Macaca mulatta: one gene and its partners. The protein of the gene in region 2 interacts with the protein of the main gene of each other region in a pairwise test. Links are inferred from orthologs where the notes say so. Each region holds a gene or a part of one and is shown on either strand. Other genes may lie near its edges. The genes, in order: GRB7, KCTD6, EHHADH and CTNND1.

Region 1 (4,099 bases), on a different chromosome or scaffold from region 2:
CCTTCTCCTCTGCTCAGCTGTCACCTCCACAGAGAAGTCTTTCCTGACTCCCTATGTGAGTCATTCTCCCAGCATAGTTGTCTCCTGTCATTTCTTATTTGTGTGATTCTTTGATTAACATCAATCTTCCTGATTGGCTGTGTGAGGATAGGGCGGGGTCTGTTTTTGTTGCTTACCCCAGTATGCCCAGCACCAAACATGGGGCTGGCATATGGTAGGTACTGAACAGAGAGTTGAATAAATTAATGAGTGAATTGTCTACTCTGCCTTTGCACAAGCTGCTCCATCACCCAAGAGACCTTGCCTCCTCCCCCACTTCTTTGCTGGGCACATTCATACCGGTTTTCCTAGGAAAACTCTGGAGAAAATTGAGGCAGGAGTCACTCCTCTGTGCCCCCCCCATGGTGGACCTCTTATCACCCTAAGGATTGTTTGTTTTCCTGTCACCCGCATCAAGCTGGGTGGTGGCCACAGCCTTTGATTTCTGCCTCCCAACCCTTCTCCCAAGTACCCTGTTTGCCCAGTGCTGAACTAGAGAGCTAAAGTGATCCCTGAGAGAACTAAATCGATCCCTCAGGCCGGGTGCGGTGGCACACACCTGTAATCCTAACACTTTGGGAGGCCGAGGTGGGCAGATTACACGAGGTCAGGAGTTCGAGACCAACGTGGCCAACGTGGAGAAACCCCGATTTACTAAAAATACAAAAATTAGCTGGGTGTGTGGCCTGTAATCCCAGCTACTCGGGAGGCCGAGGCAGGAGAATCTTTTGAACCCAGGAGGCGGAGTTTGCAGTAAGCCGAGATGGCGCCACTGCACTCCAGCTTGGGTGACAGAGCAGGACTCTGTCTCAAAAAAATAAAGTGATCCCTCTAAGAGGAATCTCCAGGGGCCCAGGCCAGAGCTTTCTCTGGGTCACCATGGCTTCTCCCACTGTGCCACCCAGCCTAAGCCCCTCGATTTTAAAGGGGAAGCCAAGACTCTGGACTTTGCTCAGAAGGTGGGGGGCGGGAGAGGGGCTTACCCTGGGTGCCTCTGAGGGGCCAGGGCACAGCCACCATGGTATGGGTGCCTGCAGATCGACGGGCAGGCCATGTTGCTGGACACCCCCGTGGCTGGCGTCCCTCCTTGGCAGGGTGCTCTTTGCCCCATGGGGTGGGATCCAGAGCTGCAGAAGTGCCCCCTGGCTTGGCCAATGAACAGACCAGGTTCAGGGAGGATGTTTGGGAGGAGTGGACCGGTGGTTCCCTTTACCTTGCAGCCCTCAGACCCTCCCCCCGCCCTCCCAGGTGGTCGGGACTCTTGATCTTCGCTGTTGGTGCTGTCTGTTCGGCTGTCTTCCCCGCCTCTTCCTAGGCACCTGCACCCTCTCTTGGCACCTGCTGCCAGGCTAGGAAGGGCAAAAACAATCCCAGTTGGCGTAGAGTGTCAGGGAGTCCCCACCCTCCTCCCAGGCTTCCTCCTCCCAGGCGCCTCCCCTGGACACGCCCCCATCTGCCCAAGATAATTTTAGTTTCCTTGGGCCTGGAATCTGGACACACAGGGCTCCCCCGGCCCTGACTTCTCTGTCCGAAGTCGGGACACCCTCCTACCACCTGTAGAGAAGCGGGAGTGGATCTGAAATAAAATCCAGGAATCTGGGGTTTCCTAGACGGAGCCAGACTTCGGAACGGGTGTCCTGCTACTCCTGCTGGGGCTCCTCCAGGTAAGGGGACAGAGATCGGTCTCAGACAACAGCCTGCCAGGCAACCCCCAGCCGCACCAGGGCCCCAGGCTGTGCCCGTCTCCGGCCGAACTGGCCGTCGGCCCAGGTGGGCGGATTGGAGCCACCTGGCTCTCCCCCTCCCCCGCTCGGTGATGTCAGGCCCGGGGCGGGGGCTGGAGGGGGACAGGTACTTAAGGGCCTGGCGTCTCCCTCCCTGAAGACGTGGTCCCAGCCGGGTGTCCTGATGTTCGGGGTTCAGGTAAGAACCCAAGCGGGCATTCATCCTTTGGGGGCAGGCACGGCCGGTCTGGGGGCCGGTAGGGAAAGGCTGGGTCTCCTGCTGGGTTGCTCGGCCTCCCACTTTTCTCTTTTCCTCCCATCTCCCACCCCGCCCCCTCCTCCCCACCCGCCCTCTTTCGTCCCCATCCTGGTTTCCAGCCCTCCTTGTTCCCTCCCGGTACACCTCCCCGAAGCCAGCAGCGAGAATGGGAAGGAAGACCTGATTCTCTCCTCCGACTTGGCTTTCCCGCTGAAACTGGCCCCTCCCCGCACACCCTGGGAGAGCCGCCCTCACTCCCTGGCTCGCCCAGTTTACCCCAGTTTGGGTTTCCCCAAGTCTCTAAGACAGACGTCTCCGCGGGCTGCGGGGAGATGTGGGGAGGGCCCCCTCCACTTTGGAGGACGGTGAAGGAGAGGGATCCTCTAAATTGTTGAGGCTCCATCTCTCCAGACTGTATGCCCTGCTCAGCAACATCGCCTCCGGCCCTCGGGTGGGAAAGTGGAGGCCGGGTGAGCCGGGGTCCCTCCTGGCTTCAGCATGAAGTGGCCAGGAAGGCTAGAGGGGTGGGTGAGGGGCTCTGCAGTGCGGTGGGGCCTGGGGAGAGTGGGGTAGGGGATGGCAGATGGTTTCCTCTGCTTGATGAGGCTAAGGAGAGACCCAGGTACCCGGTCTGGGTCTCCCTGGCAGATTGAGGACAGAGAATGCACCTGCCGGCAAGGTGGAACCCCCCCTCGCCGCCCCGCTCCAGCCTCACTGCCCACCAGGAATGCTCCCTTTTGGTCCGCCGGTCTTGGACTCTGCTCTCTCCTGATATCCTGCTGTGTGCGGGGTGGGGGGACCTCATGGAAGCAGGCAGCCTGTAATGATTAACCGCACAGACACTCCAGCATTCTTCCCGAATTAAACTTTAAAAGAGCTGCCCCGCCTTCTCTCATTGGGTATTTTTCCTGAGTGAGAGTGGGCGGGGCCTCAGAGTCCTGGGTCCTCCCTTCTACTAGGAGTCATCCAGGGGTTTCTCACCTTCTCACCTGGGCCCTGCACCCTAAAAGGTTATAAGCCTGTCCCGTGGGGGCGGGGCGTGGAGTACTGGGCGGACAGGGACGCTCCCGCCACATCCAGGCCCCTGGCCCAGGCCTCAGTCCCGCAAGCCCTTCCCCCTACTCTGGGAAGTAGAGTTGTTTTCTGTTGGCCCTGAACACCGGGCCCCGCCACCCGCCCTTAGGGCCAGCCAGGTGGGGCGTGATTCAGGAAGTAAACAAGGAGGTTGGGAGGACGGGAACGCGGGTGGGGCTGGAGCCACTGGGGGAGGAGGCAGCTGGGAAGACACCGCCGGAGTTACCTCGTTGAGGGGACAAACTGATTTTGGGGGTCGGTTTTTCCAACCGAAACTTTCCCGGTGCCTCAGTTTCAAAACTCCAGATCTCTAAGCTGCCAGGCCTACAGCCAGGAGCCCTTCCCCTCCCTGCTCGCCTCTTTGGTCTTGAGGATTCCACCCGCCTCCAGCCTTAGAAGGGGCTGAAGGGCCCGGGTGGGGGGATCTGAAGGCAAACCCCAGCCTTAGGCTGGCCCTCTCTGATCTCTGAGGCCAGGCTGTAATGTGATTCAAATCCACTTCTAACCCCTTCCAATCGCTGCCCTCCTGAATTCTCTGCTCCTCTCCCCATCCCACTGTTGGCCCCCTGCAACCTGGAATGAAGTCACCAGGGCTGTTTGGAGACCGGGGCTGTTTGGAGGGTAGACTGGGGTGGGAGTGGGGGATCGTGTTCTGATATTGAGGTGCTGGTGTCTCTTGCTAGCGGGTGGCGGGTATATCTTGCCCCTCCTGGCCAGACCCTGGGCCCCCTCCCTGGCCCTTCATCCTGTCTGTCTTTTTGAGTGTTTTCCCTTTCTGCTCCTGCTCCTGTGGTACCCCTCTGGCCAGGACACCCAGGAGAATGTGTCGGGAGGAACCTCATCCACACGGGGCGGGGGCTCTGAGCGATGCTTTGGGTGGGGAGGGGCACCGCTGGGACACTGGCTTCTCTCCAAATGGGCCTCTGAATCCAGGCCGGGCATTGCCTCTCTCTTTCCCAGGTGAGGGACTCCCTGGCAAGGCGGTGGTTTGGCACTGGGGGTG
Region 2 (4,071 bases):
GATGAAGCATATGTCATTTATTTAACCTATCAATTTGAGCTTTGGAGAAGAATCAAGTATCAGATACAACTGTGATGATCATGCTGATATAATTTCAACCCCAGAGCTAGCTCACACACATGCAGACGTGAAACCCAAGTAAGTTTCTAAGGCCAGTGGTTATTCTGGTGGAGAAGGTTAAACCCAGCATCAGGTAACCGGTCCCAACGGAAGGGGACAGAGGCCTGGCTAGTAGGAAGCGAATGGGACTTGGAACGAGTGGACGGATGGAGGCCAATTAGCCCTGAGGCGTTAGGAGCTGCCCATCCTCTGCAGTCTTGGCTTCCTTCCTGGTGAAGTGGGGACAATACCGGCGCCAGTCTCATCTAGGGCCGAGCTCCTCCAGGCCCCAGAGCCTTTGCACGGGTCGTTTCGTCTGCTGAAGGTGGCTCTGCCCTTCTCTCCACCTGGCTGCCCGTGTTGCTGAGGCTCTGGGCCCAGCTGTCCTTTGCTGTCCTGCCCACCAGGCCGGAGGGGTGGCCGCGGGGGCTTCTTCACAGGCCTCATCGCAGGGTTGTCTCCCCAGTGCAGGGCAGGCAGGAGAGGCTCCGACCGCAGGTCCGGGGTCCAGGTCTTCCTTGGCTACTGCGTTTGAAGCAGGGGCTCCCTTCCCTTCTCCATCTAAGTCCTCTAATCACGCCTCTCCCAACGCTTATGATCATAACCTGTCATTATTTTGTCTATTAGCTGTTTCCTTGACTCTTGTCTGTCTTCTCCTTTCATTAGGACCCGCTTGCGTCTTGGTAGCCGCTGTATCTCCTAAACCCCCAGGCCTGAGATATAGTGGGGGTCCCATACAAGTTCATGAAATGACTAAGGAGAAACAGCTGTGGAAACACCAGCTCTGAGGACGCAGTGGGCCTGGGGCTGGGCGGACCCCAGGCTGCGGACGGAGGCGGGACGCAGGGGCGGGGTTTCGGGGCTTCGGGGCTTCTGAGCTGAGCCTAAGGGGCGGGACTGGGGCTTCAGGGCGGGGCTTCGGGGCTGCGGTCTTGCGGTCTTGACCGCGCGGCTCCGGCTGCGCTCGCTCCTAAGGCCGCCCGGCTCTCTGGCTTCCCGCCCGCGCTGCCGTTAGGGGGCGCCCGCGCTTGTGGCGCTACGGCTCTGCTGGGAAGGCGCCGCCCGCGCCGGGCAGCTGGAGCCGCAACTCCGGGCGCGGGCTCAGTCGTCCCTTCTGCCGCCGCCGCCGCCGCCGCCGCCGGGCGCGGGCTCGCTCGTCCCCGCGCTCGCGCTCTCCGGCCGCGGGCATCTCCCGGCCCGGCCGCCGCCGCTGCCGCCGCCGCCGCCGCCGCCGCGCAGTGAGTGGGGCTGGCTTGGGGCTTGCGGGGCCGGGGCTTGGGAGGGCCGGGGCTTGGGAGGGCCGGGTTTCGGGAGACGTCTGCGCGGAGCGGCCAGGGGAGCGGGGCAGAGGATTATCTGGGCGGGGGCTCCTGGAACCGGGCGGTGGCGGCGGGGCCGCGTTGAGGGGACCGCGCGTCCCGGGGCTGGCACGAGCCGGCGGCGGAGGTGCCCGCGGCGGGGCCTGGGCGGGGGTTCTGGGGTCCGCCCGCGGGGATGCGCGGTTTCTGCGGGCCCGGGTTCGGAGCTCCGCGGAGCGCCCCTCGTCCGGGCCCGGAGCATCGCCCGCCCTACCCCTGGCCGGGTCGGGTTTGTGGGGGTTTCGCTGGTGGGGCAGCAGCGAAGCACGGCCCGGACGGAGACATTCGGGGTGTGCTCGAAAATGATTGTTTTTGGGAGATTGCGCTTATTAGCCACCAATTGCCCTAGTTTAAAGCGTGAGCCAGGACTCAAAACCCTGGCTTTGGGATTTTCTACCCTGAAGAGACACTCAGATTGCAGCTGAGTTCTTTATGCCTAGATTTGTGTGTGTGGTGGCGTTTTTAATGCTTGATGTCAGAGGTGATAAATGGCTGTGGTAATGGGGAGCCCTGGCAGCACCTGCTGGGCTGTCAGTGGTGGAGGCTGTGTCTGGGGGTGGGACGGGGAAATGAAACGTGACAGAGATCCTGTTTGGATATTCTGCTGAAGTTATCATGTTTCTGTTCAAGTATACCAGTTCTAGAACAAGTTGATGGATCCAATTTTAGGACTTTGTGATAGAAGAGGTTTGGGTGGCAAAGTGACCTGGGATGACCCGGCTCGGCTAAGAATATTTGGGGTAGCCTAAGCATCTCTTCCATATCCCCCTGGCATGTTCTTTTTTTCGCTGTCACAAATGCCCTATTACTTGAATCATCCTGGGATAGGAGAGAAGCTTGGGGACAGCATGTAGCACAGTCCTGAGCCCAAGATTGAGATGTTTTCAAATGAATAAATATGTAGCTAGGAAAAGGAAAATGGTTTTGTCAGCAGGGTTGGTAGGTTGAGAGAATTTTCTCTTTGGCCGAAAACCATCAGTCCATAAAGATACTTGATTTTGTGCTATGCTTTAGATATGAACGATGGAGTGGAGTGGTCAGGACAGCCACGGATGCCATCCCAAAGTTTTGTGATTTGAATTTTCATAAATCATATTTTAACCAAAGCATTACTACTTACAGAAATCTTAGGGTGAACCCTATGAATCCTTCGGTGCGTTTGGATTTTGATATTTGGGGTCCATTTAAAATGGAGTACATGTATGTATTTGGATTCAGCTTTACCTTGGAGATAATCCTGAGTCATGCTTTAAGGAAGTTCCTTCTGAGATCAGGAGCTCAGATGTTGGGTGATCTCTGGGAAAACTAGACACTCCCCTTTACCTGTATGTAGTTCTCCCTTCTGGAGCTGTGGGAAAAAGAGGACCCGGGGAGATTTAGAGCAAATTAAGAGGCTGCCTCCTCCATATTTGCCGTCTCCAGGCCAATGCTCTAAATTACTTTGTTCACACTCAAGTTTTTCATGTTAACATAGAAATTTTGTTTATGCTGCTGCCACTAGTGTTTTCACGTTTGTCTAATACTTGCCAGTTTACAGATGGTTTTATATTCATGATCTCCTTTATTTTCTCCATTTCCCCAAAGAAGAAGCTGAGCATAAAGAGTCATTTTCTCAGGGTCTCATAATCAGTAATGGAGCAAAATTCGACTACAGGACCTCCCTGGGAACCTGTTCTCTTTCCTTGTCCTGTGATGTGTTACTCTTATAGGCCAATTTTTGCTTTTGTGTAGTGCCTAAATGGTGTAATTACTTTTGGGAAGATGGTATTAGCCCATCTTACCTTTCGGAAACTGAGGGTTAAGAGGAGTGTTACGATTTTGTGACAGCTTTTTAATATTAGGTCACTTTTAAACCTGTAACTCCTCTCTTCTTGACCACATGGTTGAGAGAGGAGAAAGAGAAAATGATTACTTTTAGAGAAAAATCCATTTCTGCAGTGGTATGGTTAAGGATAATGTAACACCATAATCACATTATCCTTGTATGCCTGGCTACTTGTGCTGGCCTGTATGTGAATGTTAACCCCAAAGGCTCCTTTAGATGTCGCTGAACTAGTTACTATAAAAAGTATTTCACTTTCAAACTCCCACATTTCAAGAAGAGCAAAACTCAGTAAAAAGGCAATTTTGAAGGTAAGTATAGAGAGAGGGAGTTTATTGAGTCTTTTCTGACTACCAGACACGAAGGTTTCATTAAAAACGCATTTTAAAGGGCTGCCTGGAAACTCTGGGAAGTCAGTAGTTGGAAGTTTTTATTTTTCATTGAAGTTCGGAGGTTTTTATTGCAACATATAGGTAGTTATACAGGATTAGGACTTTTGCCCTGGAGAATTCTTAATCTATAGCAAGAATGATAAACCCAGAATATTGTTAGGTTGGTTCATCGTAACCATGAGGCCTGAAATTGCAATTCTGCAGTGACAGGGAGAATGGCATTTAAGGGTTCTTAGGTTACTTTTTTAAGTTATTAACTTACTGAATTATGTATTCTTCAGATATACTACTTTAGAAAATTAATATTTTCTTTTAAGGCTTCTGTAAATTCTTCAGTATGTGTTTTCTTAAGCTTAATTACCTGCTAACATGACACTGTCAGAATTTATACATTAGTCAC
Region 3 (3,563 bases), about 25 Mb from region 2:
TATATAATGGTTCTGAATTTGCTTTTTGTGATCAGATTTGGCTTCTAATTAACCAGCTGAAGGCAAGAGGGTTTGTCTGGTTTCATCTAGGTTAAGAGGTGAAAAGTAATTAGGTGAAAGGGAACCATTATATACAAGGGCAAGTATCCTTTTTATTGCTTGGGTTTTTAGCTCATAGTTATTGGTCTTAACAATTTGGCCTTTACAGAAGTTTGTTATTGTTTGTTTTGTTTTAAAATTTATTTTTAACCCTGTATACTAAAGAACAGAGATTTTACCCAGAATACTTGGAATTCCAAGGCAAAACTGATTGGAATCTGGTTCTGTGATTTTTCTTTTAAGCAGTTCCTCACCACTTGCCCTAGATTCTCTTCGGTTGCTTGGTACTTATTAATCCCCTCCTTCTTCACAAATTTTCTCTCTTGGTCTTTGTGACTTTGGGCTCACTTGCTGAATCACGCTGCTGAGCTTCTCCCACTTCTTAAATGAAGATATATCCAGAGGATCTGCCCTCAGCTCTCTTTTCCATTGGTAGACTCATTCAGTCTTGGTTTTAGCTATCTCTTTTGTGGATTACTTCCTCATATACTAAAACTTGGCAAAATCTGCTACATGCCCTATCTTTCCACGATCTTGCTTTTATCTCTTATCTGAGATTATGCTTGGCTGTCACTGACAGAATACTCAAGATAATAGTAAATTAGACAATAAAAAGCTAATTTCTCTCGCGGCAGTGTCCTGGAATGATACAGCTGCTCCACAATCAACAAGGGCCTCAATTATTTATTCTGTCTATCTCTTGCTCTACCATCCTCAATACATAGCTTCTGTCTCCTGATCCAAGCTGGCTGCTCCTGATCTAACCATCATTGGTGCCAGGAGTAGGGAGGAAAGAAAAAGGGAAAAGCATACCCAAATCTTTCAGAACTCTTCCCAAAAGTTGCACATACCAAATATGCTTCCATCCCATTGGCTAGAACTTAGTTCCTTGTGCAGACCTTACTGTAAAGCAGGCTGGAAAATGTAGTCTTTATTTTGGGCAACCGTATTTTTGTATTAGTCCATTTTCATTTTCAGATTGCTATAAAGACATACCCAAGATTGGGTAATTTATAAAGGAGGGAGGTTTAATTGACTGCCAGTTCCACATGGCTGGGGAAGCCTGGGGAAACTTACAATCATGGCGGAAGGCAAAGGAGAAGCAAGTACCTTCTTCACAAGGTGGCAGGAGAGAGGCGTGAGTGCAGGGGAGACTGCCACTTATAAACCACTAGATCTCCTGAGAATTCCCTCACAGAACAACAGCATGGGGCAAACCATTGGTATGATCCAGTCACCTCCCGCCAGATCTTTCCCTGATATGTGGGGATTGCAATTCAAAATGAAGTTTTGGTGGGGATTAAGAGCCAAAACCATATCACATATATTCAAGTAAAAACCAGGTGTTTTAATACTATGAAGAAGACGGAGAGGAATGGATATTTGAGGTAACTCACAGCCCCTGCCACAGCTCCTAGACTGTTTCTCATTTAATTTTCTTATATTTTACCAATATGAAAAATTGAAAGTCATTTCACCCTTCTCGATTTCAACATCACTTTTTCTTTGTACCTTTTTTACAGCACTCATCTTAGTGCACCTTACATGATAAATTATGTACAAGTATTGGATAACTCCTTGTACAGTATATGGAAGCCATGTAATAATATTTTTAAATTGGTTGGTGCCAATTTTAAGTGGTCAAAGTGAAAGCACAGGGCAGGAAAATTACAGTTTTAAAAAGTGGATTAATTTAATCTGTTCAGTGCTTAATTAATCATAGGCACATATATTATTTGTAGAACAAATATAATAGTCATAGTAGACACATATATTATTTGTTGGAAGCTTTATTGAGAAGTATCTGTAGTTCTTATCCATTATGTGTGTGTTTAATTTTTCATTGTTAGGAAAGGAAAACACTCTGAATGGTAGGAATTTAATTCTGACTAATTTAGTTAGTGTATTTTGTTTTCTTTTAGTACGGCCGTACTCCGTGATGTAAAAGAAGGACTACAGAAAGCTGTAATAGACCATACAATAAAAGCCATTGTGATTTGTGGAGCAGAGGGCAAATTTTCTGCAGGTAACTTAAGTCTAACCCTTTCCCACTATCTCTGGAAGCCAACCACAGACTGAGACCAATACTACATTAGCTGTGCTTGTGAGTAATAACTTAGTGTAGGTAATGGAAATGACAGACTTGAGTGAGAATGAGAAACATTGTGGAGAAAGGGACTGGAATTACAAGAGAGACCCAGAGAAGACTTTGGGCTTAGTCTCTTTTATAGTGGATTGGGGTTTTAGAGTATATTTAGTTCCAGACTTGATGGCTGTTACACACTTACTGATATATACCTGCATTGCATGTATCTCCACCACATATGGGCTTGGGCAAATCTCTTTAACCTCCTGAACCTCAATTTCTCTATCTATAAAGTAGGAACAATAATATCTATTTTAAGGGGTTTTTGTGACATTAAATGAGATAACATATCTGGAAGCCTCTACTACAGTACCTATACACAGAAGATGGTCAATAAACGTTACTGTTTAATTCACACAGAGTCTTATAATAGAATTCATTTTTCTTCTGGTAGTCACCCATCTCAGTGACAATGGCACTGTTTTATTGGGTTATTGTGTGAAGATGCAAAATTCTTGACAAAATATGGCAAAAGTATTTTGAAATGGTGATTTATTCAATGGTATATATGGCATCTTTTCCTTAATGAATACATTATACCCTTTAACAAAAGTCACATGGATATGGGGGCCTATTCAACCTTACTGTAGCCAGAGAAATTTAATGTGTGTTAATGGTAGCCTGAAAAGACACAGATGTTAGAATCATGGCAATAAATAAATATAAAAATGTGAATCATTATAATATTACCATTTATCTTGCCTGTTATGTGCTAGTACCATGTAGGTTATTTATTAATAATAATAAAAGTAATAGTATTTTTAAACACATTCTATTTTAATTCTCAGTTAGTCCTACAATCCTCATTTACAGGTAAGAAGATATTTTGAGCCTGGAAGAGATTAATATAATGTCCCAAACCTTAACCAGTTATTAAATAGCTTACTCACTGTTTGGAAACTTAAGGTTTGGCACCCAAGATGATGACAATGATGCATGGAAAGAGTGATCAGAATGATAAAGAACTTGATATTTCTTTGTAAGAAAGAAGGTAGATGAGAGAATGCAATTAGAGTTCGGAGGCAGAAAAAATTATTCTTCTAAAAAAGTATTAGGGATTATGAAACTTGGCTTAATGCATGTACATAGAACAATGCACCCCAAAATGGGAGAATATAGATTCTTCTGAAATACATCTGGAACATTTACAAAAATTGACTAGATACTGAATTATAAAATCTTATTTAAATAAATTTCATTAAGAATATATTATCTGACAATAATGCAATTAAGCTAGAAATCAATAACAAAATATAACTAGTAATTCTCATATGTTTGGAAGTTAATTTCCAATATCCTCTGAGTAAAAACAGAAATA
Region 4 (3,563 bases), on a different chromosome or scaffold from region 2:
TCAGCCAGATTCAAGTTCTTTAAGTTGGGACTATCAGACTTCAGTGCCTTTCTGGAGCATTTGGCAAGCTCAGTTCCCAACAGTGGTGCCTAATTACACCCATCTGCTTGATATATATTGTACAGTAGAGGGGAATGTCATATTTCTGCGTACAATTTTTTTTTTTTTTAATCAGATAACAACTATTCCACACCAAATGAGAGAGGAGACCACAATAGAACACTGGATCGATCGGGGGATCTAGGCGACATGGAGCCATTGAAGGGAACAACACCCTTGATGGTAAATTCTTTTTATATACTGCTATCTGTCTAAGGCTAGTTCTATTTTGAATCCTATGTGTTTTGTGAAATACAAAAAAAAGTACAGAGAAAGATCGCATCCTTTTCTGGTAGGGGTTTTTAGGAAAAAGTAAGGGTTTTGACTCGTGTTGGGATTTCATGGGCCGTTATTCTGCAGTGGTCAAAATGGGGGAAGCATGTCTGTAAAAGTGTTACTGATATGACTAACACTAACTGATCTATTTTCAAACATTACCTTTTTCCTCTTCCTCCCTGTTTATGAATGTTTTGCCCTTCTCTTACTATTATATCTTGTTTTGTTTGAGTTTACAAATTTTCAGAGTTTCCCCAGGTCTGGCACACACATGAGGTTCCTGTCTCTACTCATACTAACAAATTGCATGTGTTCACAGCAGGACGAGGGGCAGGAATCTCTGGAGGAAGAGTTGGATGTGTTGGTTTTGGATGATGAGGGGGGCCAAGTGTCTTACCCCTCCATGGTATGTCCTTCAGTCACCCCCAAGATTGTCCTTGAGGAAGGAGGCTCCTGTGTGCCAGCAATTTGTCAATCACGCTGATCTGATCAGGCCAGAGGCTAACTAGTCTCAGCCACATGGGGCTCGAGGGGTTCTGCTTTTGTGATTATTACCTCTTAAGAGTCTGGGACATGCAGCTGGTAATCTGATTCTCCATTATGTGCTGCTTTCCTGTTTCCAGATTTGTTCAGCTTTTTTTGAGGGGGGGGGTCTCCTTAATCCCAACCCCGCTAACATCCTCTCTTTCTCTTTTTTCTCCACAGCAGAAGATTTAGCACCACTGTCTCCATTCCATCTGGGCTTATATGTACTTTTATTTTTTGGTGGTGAAATTGACTGATGATTTTCCTTTTTCTTCGCTGGACTATTGTGCCAACTGCCAGGCTGCCTCCTGCCCTTACAGCCCTACGTGGCTGCCTTCTTTCCATCAATTCCCAACTTCTTCCGGTGAAGTTTAATTGTCTCAACGCTTCCCCCTCCCCCATTCTCTCCATTTTCTCCCAAGAAGCCTGACTCAGTTATTTGCATATTTTGAGAAACTGCTGCAGATTAGTTCTTTTTGCCAGTTCTCCCTGGAACTCTTGGCCTTTTGTGGAGGGAGGGATGGAGAGAATAGCAATCTTCACTGGAAGCCGTGGGAAGAATTGGAAGTTACATGCTGTATATGCAATGTCCAGCAGTCTGATAAACTGATGATTCTTAATCAAGATTTTTTTCCTGGTGGGGAAGGGACTTTTATTTTCTTTTAGAGAGGGGAAAGTGTGAACTCTTCCCTTATTCCTGATGGCTATTTTTGAAGCAAAGAAGGCCGGCAACATTGGCACATGCCACCTGGCAAAGGACCCTTGAGTAAGTGAAGGTCTCCTAGAACTGGGATTAAGAAACCTTGCTCTCCTCATCTCCAAGGCAGGGACCATCAAGAACCTACAGACTCCATCTCTTCTGCAAGCCTCATGCCAACCCTGGGCTATTGCTGCTGCCCCTTAAACAGAGGCTGTCCTTAACCCACTTCTCCCGCCCTGTGATATGTCTGCTGAGTTGGCCTGGCCATTTCCAAGAGGCTATAGAAAGGGGAGAATGTCAAGGAAGACTTTTGGTTGAGAAGGAGCAGAAAGATGTGTTTTTGGGAAGAAGAAGACCTCTAGGAGGAGCTAGTAGGAATGTACATGAAACGATTAGTCTGAAACTGGCTTCCCCACTCCCCTGTTTCTCCTTTTCCTATCCTTATAGGCCTGTCCCTTGCCTCTGCCCTGGATTGGTTGGCAAACTAAAGGACTTGATGTACATAACTCCTGTCCCTTTTACCCTTACAAGGTGGGGATTGCCCCTGGCTTTGCCTCTTCTTTGTGCCTTTGGCCTGGGGTGCATCTCCTCCCGCCCTTCCATGTGCCTTTCTTTGCCTCTGCAGTCTCATTTCTCATAATTTTGCAAATTATATTTTGTTGCTTTCTTACCTACTATTGGCCCTAAATAGCAGAAAGAAGAGAAGTGACCTAGAGAACCTCAGATTCTTCACTGAGGATTGGTATAGCCATGATTTCAGTCATAGCAAGCTTTTGCTCAACAGCATGTGGGTGGGATTTTGCCAAAATTCTATTCTGATGAATCTCAAAGTAAGGTTGGTAAGGGAGGTGAGTGGTGTGACTCTTACTCCTTAGGTGCCCAGAATTTACCATCATCTCTGAAGGAGTTACAGGGAAGTGGTCTCCCCAATTGTCCCCTCCCTCCAGTATTGCCTCCTCTCACTTTAGCATGTATTAATTAGCAGGTTGGGCTAGAGAAATCAGCTGCTATGCGGGTTGATTATTATTATTATTTTTAATCCTTTTCCTTATTTGCCTTCTACTCCCCTTAATCTAATCTAAAAGCTCTGTTCCATGCAACTTTATCCCTCTCTTCCCCTTCCCTTATATATTGAGGCTATGGGGTAGGAGAAAAGTGCACAACCCACCACCCCCTTTACTCGTGCATTAAAATTTCTCATTTACCCTTTCCCCGCTTTCCATTTCTTCCCACTTTCATCTACCTTTTCTGGCAAAAAGGAGCCTTTTGCTCTCTGTGACCCCTAAGAGCATACTGCACAGGGGAAATTGCCCCATCCAGACCTGGCTCCACTCTTGATTTCTTTTGTCCTCTTCTGCTCTTTTCCTGGTGCTCTTTTTTCTCGGTGGGGTGTGGGTAATAGAACAGCCATGGGCTTTTGGGGACCTTTAACTTTTTTTTCCCTCTTTTGTTTATAAAAACACTAAACATTCAATTCCAGAGAACCAAAAATCCCACCTTCCCACCGAACACTACTAAGGGGCCTGTGTTCTGCTCCATACCTTTTCTCTTTTCTTTCTGTCTTGTTAATGCTTTTAAAAACAAATGAGTTTTTTATATAAATAAAGTTTTTAAAGTGTGTATGTGGGGGGTCTGTGTCATTTCTTCACTTCAAGCTGTTATTTCTTCCCTGCTTTTCATCTTTGTTACTTCCTTATGTATCAGTGTCCTTTCCAGAGCAACCAGAAGGAGGTTATACCAGGATTTATTTTGAGCTCAGCCCCAAGTCTTATTAAGCAACATTCTTGTTAACTATATGTGAAACATTTTTTTCTTCTGAAGATTCTTAAAAATTGAATGTGGCTGACGTTGAACATGGGAGCTTATTGCTAACTTAAGAGATAGGAAACTGAAGCATAAAGAATTAATGACTTTAATTACTGGGATTCTTTTGCAACATTTGACAAAACTAACATTGAATAAG

The links.
Region 1: the proteins of KCTD6 (region 2) and GRB7 interact in binary tests that used the Homo sapiens proteins (3 or more experiments, as listed by UniProt). The two-hybrid records come from large-scale screens. The link is inferred for Macaca mulatta from reciprocal best matches to the Homo sapiens genes KCTD6 and GRB7.
Region 3: the proteins of KCTD6 (region 2) and EHHADH interact in binary tests that used the Homo sapiens proteins (3 or more experiments, as listed by UniProt). The two-hybrid records come from large-scale screens. The link is inferred for Macaca mulatta from reciprocal best matches to the Homo sapiens genes KCTD6 and EHHADH.
Region 4: the proteins of KCTD6 (region 2) and CTNND1 interact in binary tests that used the Homo sapiens proteins (3 or more experiments, as listed by UniProt). The two-hybrid records come from large-scale screens. The link is inferred for Macaca mulatta from reciprocal best matches to the Homo sapiens genes KCTD6 and CTNND1.

The regions. Positions count from the first base shown.
Region 1 is NC_133421.1:64,090,834-64,094,932, forward strand, and holds the start of GRB7 (growth factor receptor-bound protein 7), read left to right. Parts: upstream 1-1,272; 5' UTR 1,273-1,703; intron 1,704-1,921; exon of another isoform or gene 1,922-1,962; intron 1,963-2,141; exon of another isoform or gene 2,142-2,492; intron 2,493-4,099. UniProt on the Homo sapiens protein: Adapter protein that interacts with the cytoplasmic domain of numerous receptor kinases and modulates down-stream signaling. Promotes activation of down-stream protein kinases, including STAT3, AKT1, MAPK1 and/or MAPK3. Promotes activation of HRAS.
Region 2 is NC_133407.1:122,078,945-122,083,015, forward strand, and holds the start of KCTD6 (BTB/POZ domain-containing protein KCTD6), read left to right. Parts: upstream 1-1,251; 5' UTR 1,252-1,337; intron 1,338-1,523; exon of another isoform or gene 1,524-3,590; intron 3,591-4,071. UniProt on the Homo sapiens protein: Probable substrate-specific adapter of a BCR (BTB-CUL3-RBX1) E3 ubiquitin-protein ligase complex mediating the ubiquitination and subsequent proteasomal degradation of target proteins.
Region 3 is NC_133407.1:97,411,136-97,414,698, reverse strand, and holds part of EHHADH (peroxisomal bifunctional enzyme), read left to right. Parts: intron 1-2,021; coding exon 2,022-2,125; intron 2,126-3,563. UniProt on the Homo sapiens protein: Peroxisomal trifunctional enzyme possessing 2-enoyl-CoA hydratase, 3-hydroxyacyl-CoA dehydrogenase, and delta 3, delta 2-enoyl-CoA isomerase activities. Catalyzes two of the four reactions of the long chain fatty acids peroxisomal beta-oxidation pathway.
Region 4 is NC_133419.1:15,575,955-15,579,517, reverse strand, and holds part of CTNND1 (catenin delta-1), read left to right. Parts: intron 1-175; coding exon 176-282; intron 283-694; coding exon of another isoform or gene 695-781; intron 782-1,080; coding exon 1,081-1,092; 3' UTR 1,093-3,563. UniProt on the Homo sapiens protein: Key regulator of cell-cell adhesion that associates with and regulates the cell adhesion properties of both C-, E- and N-cadherins, being critical for their surface stability.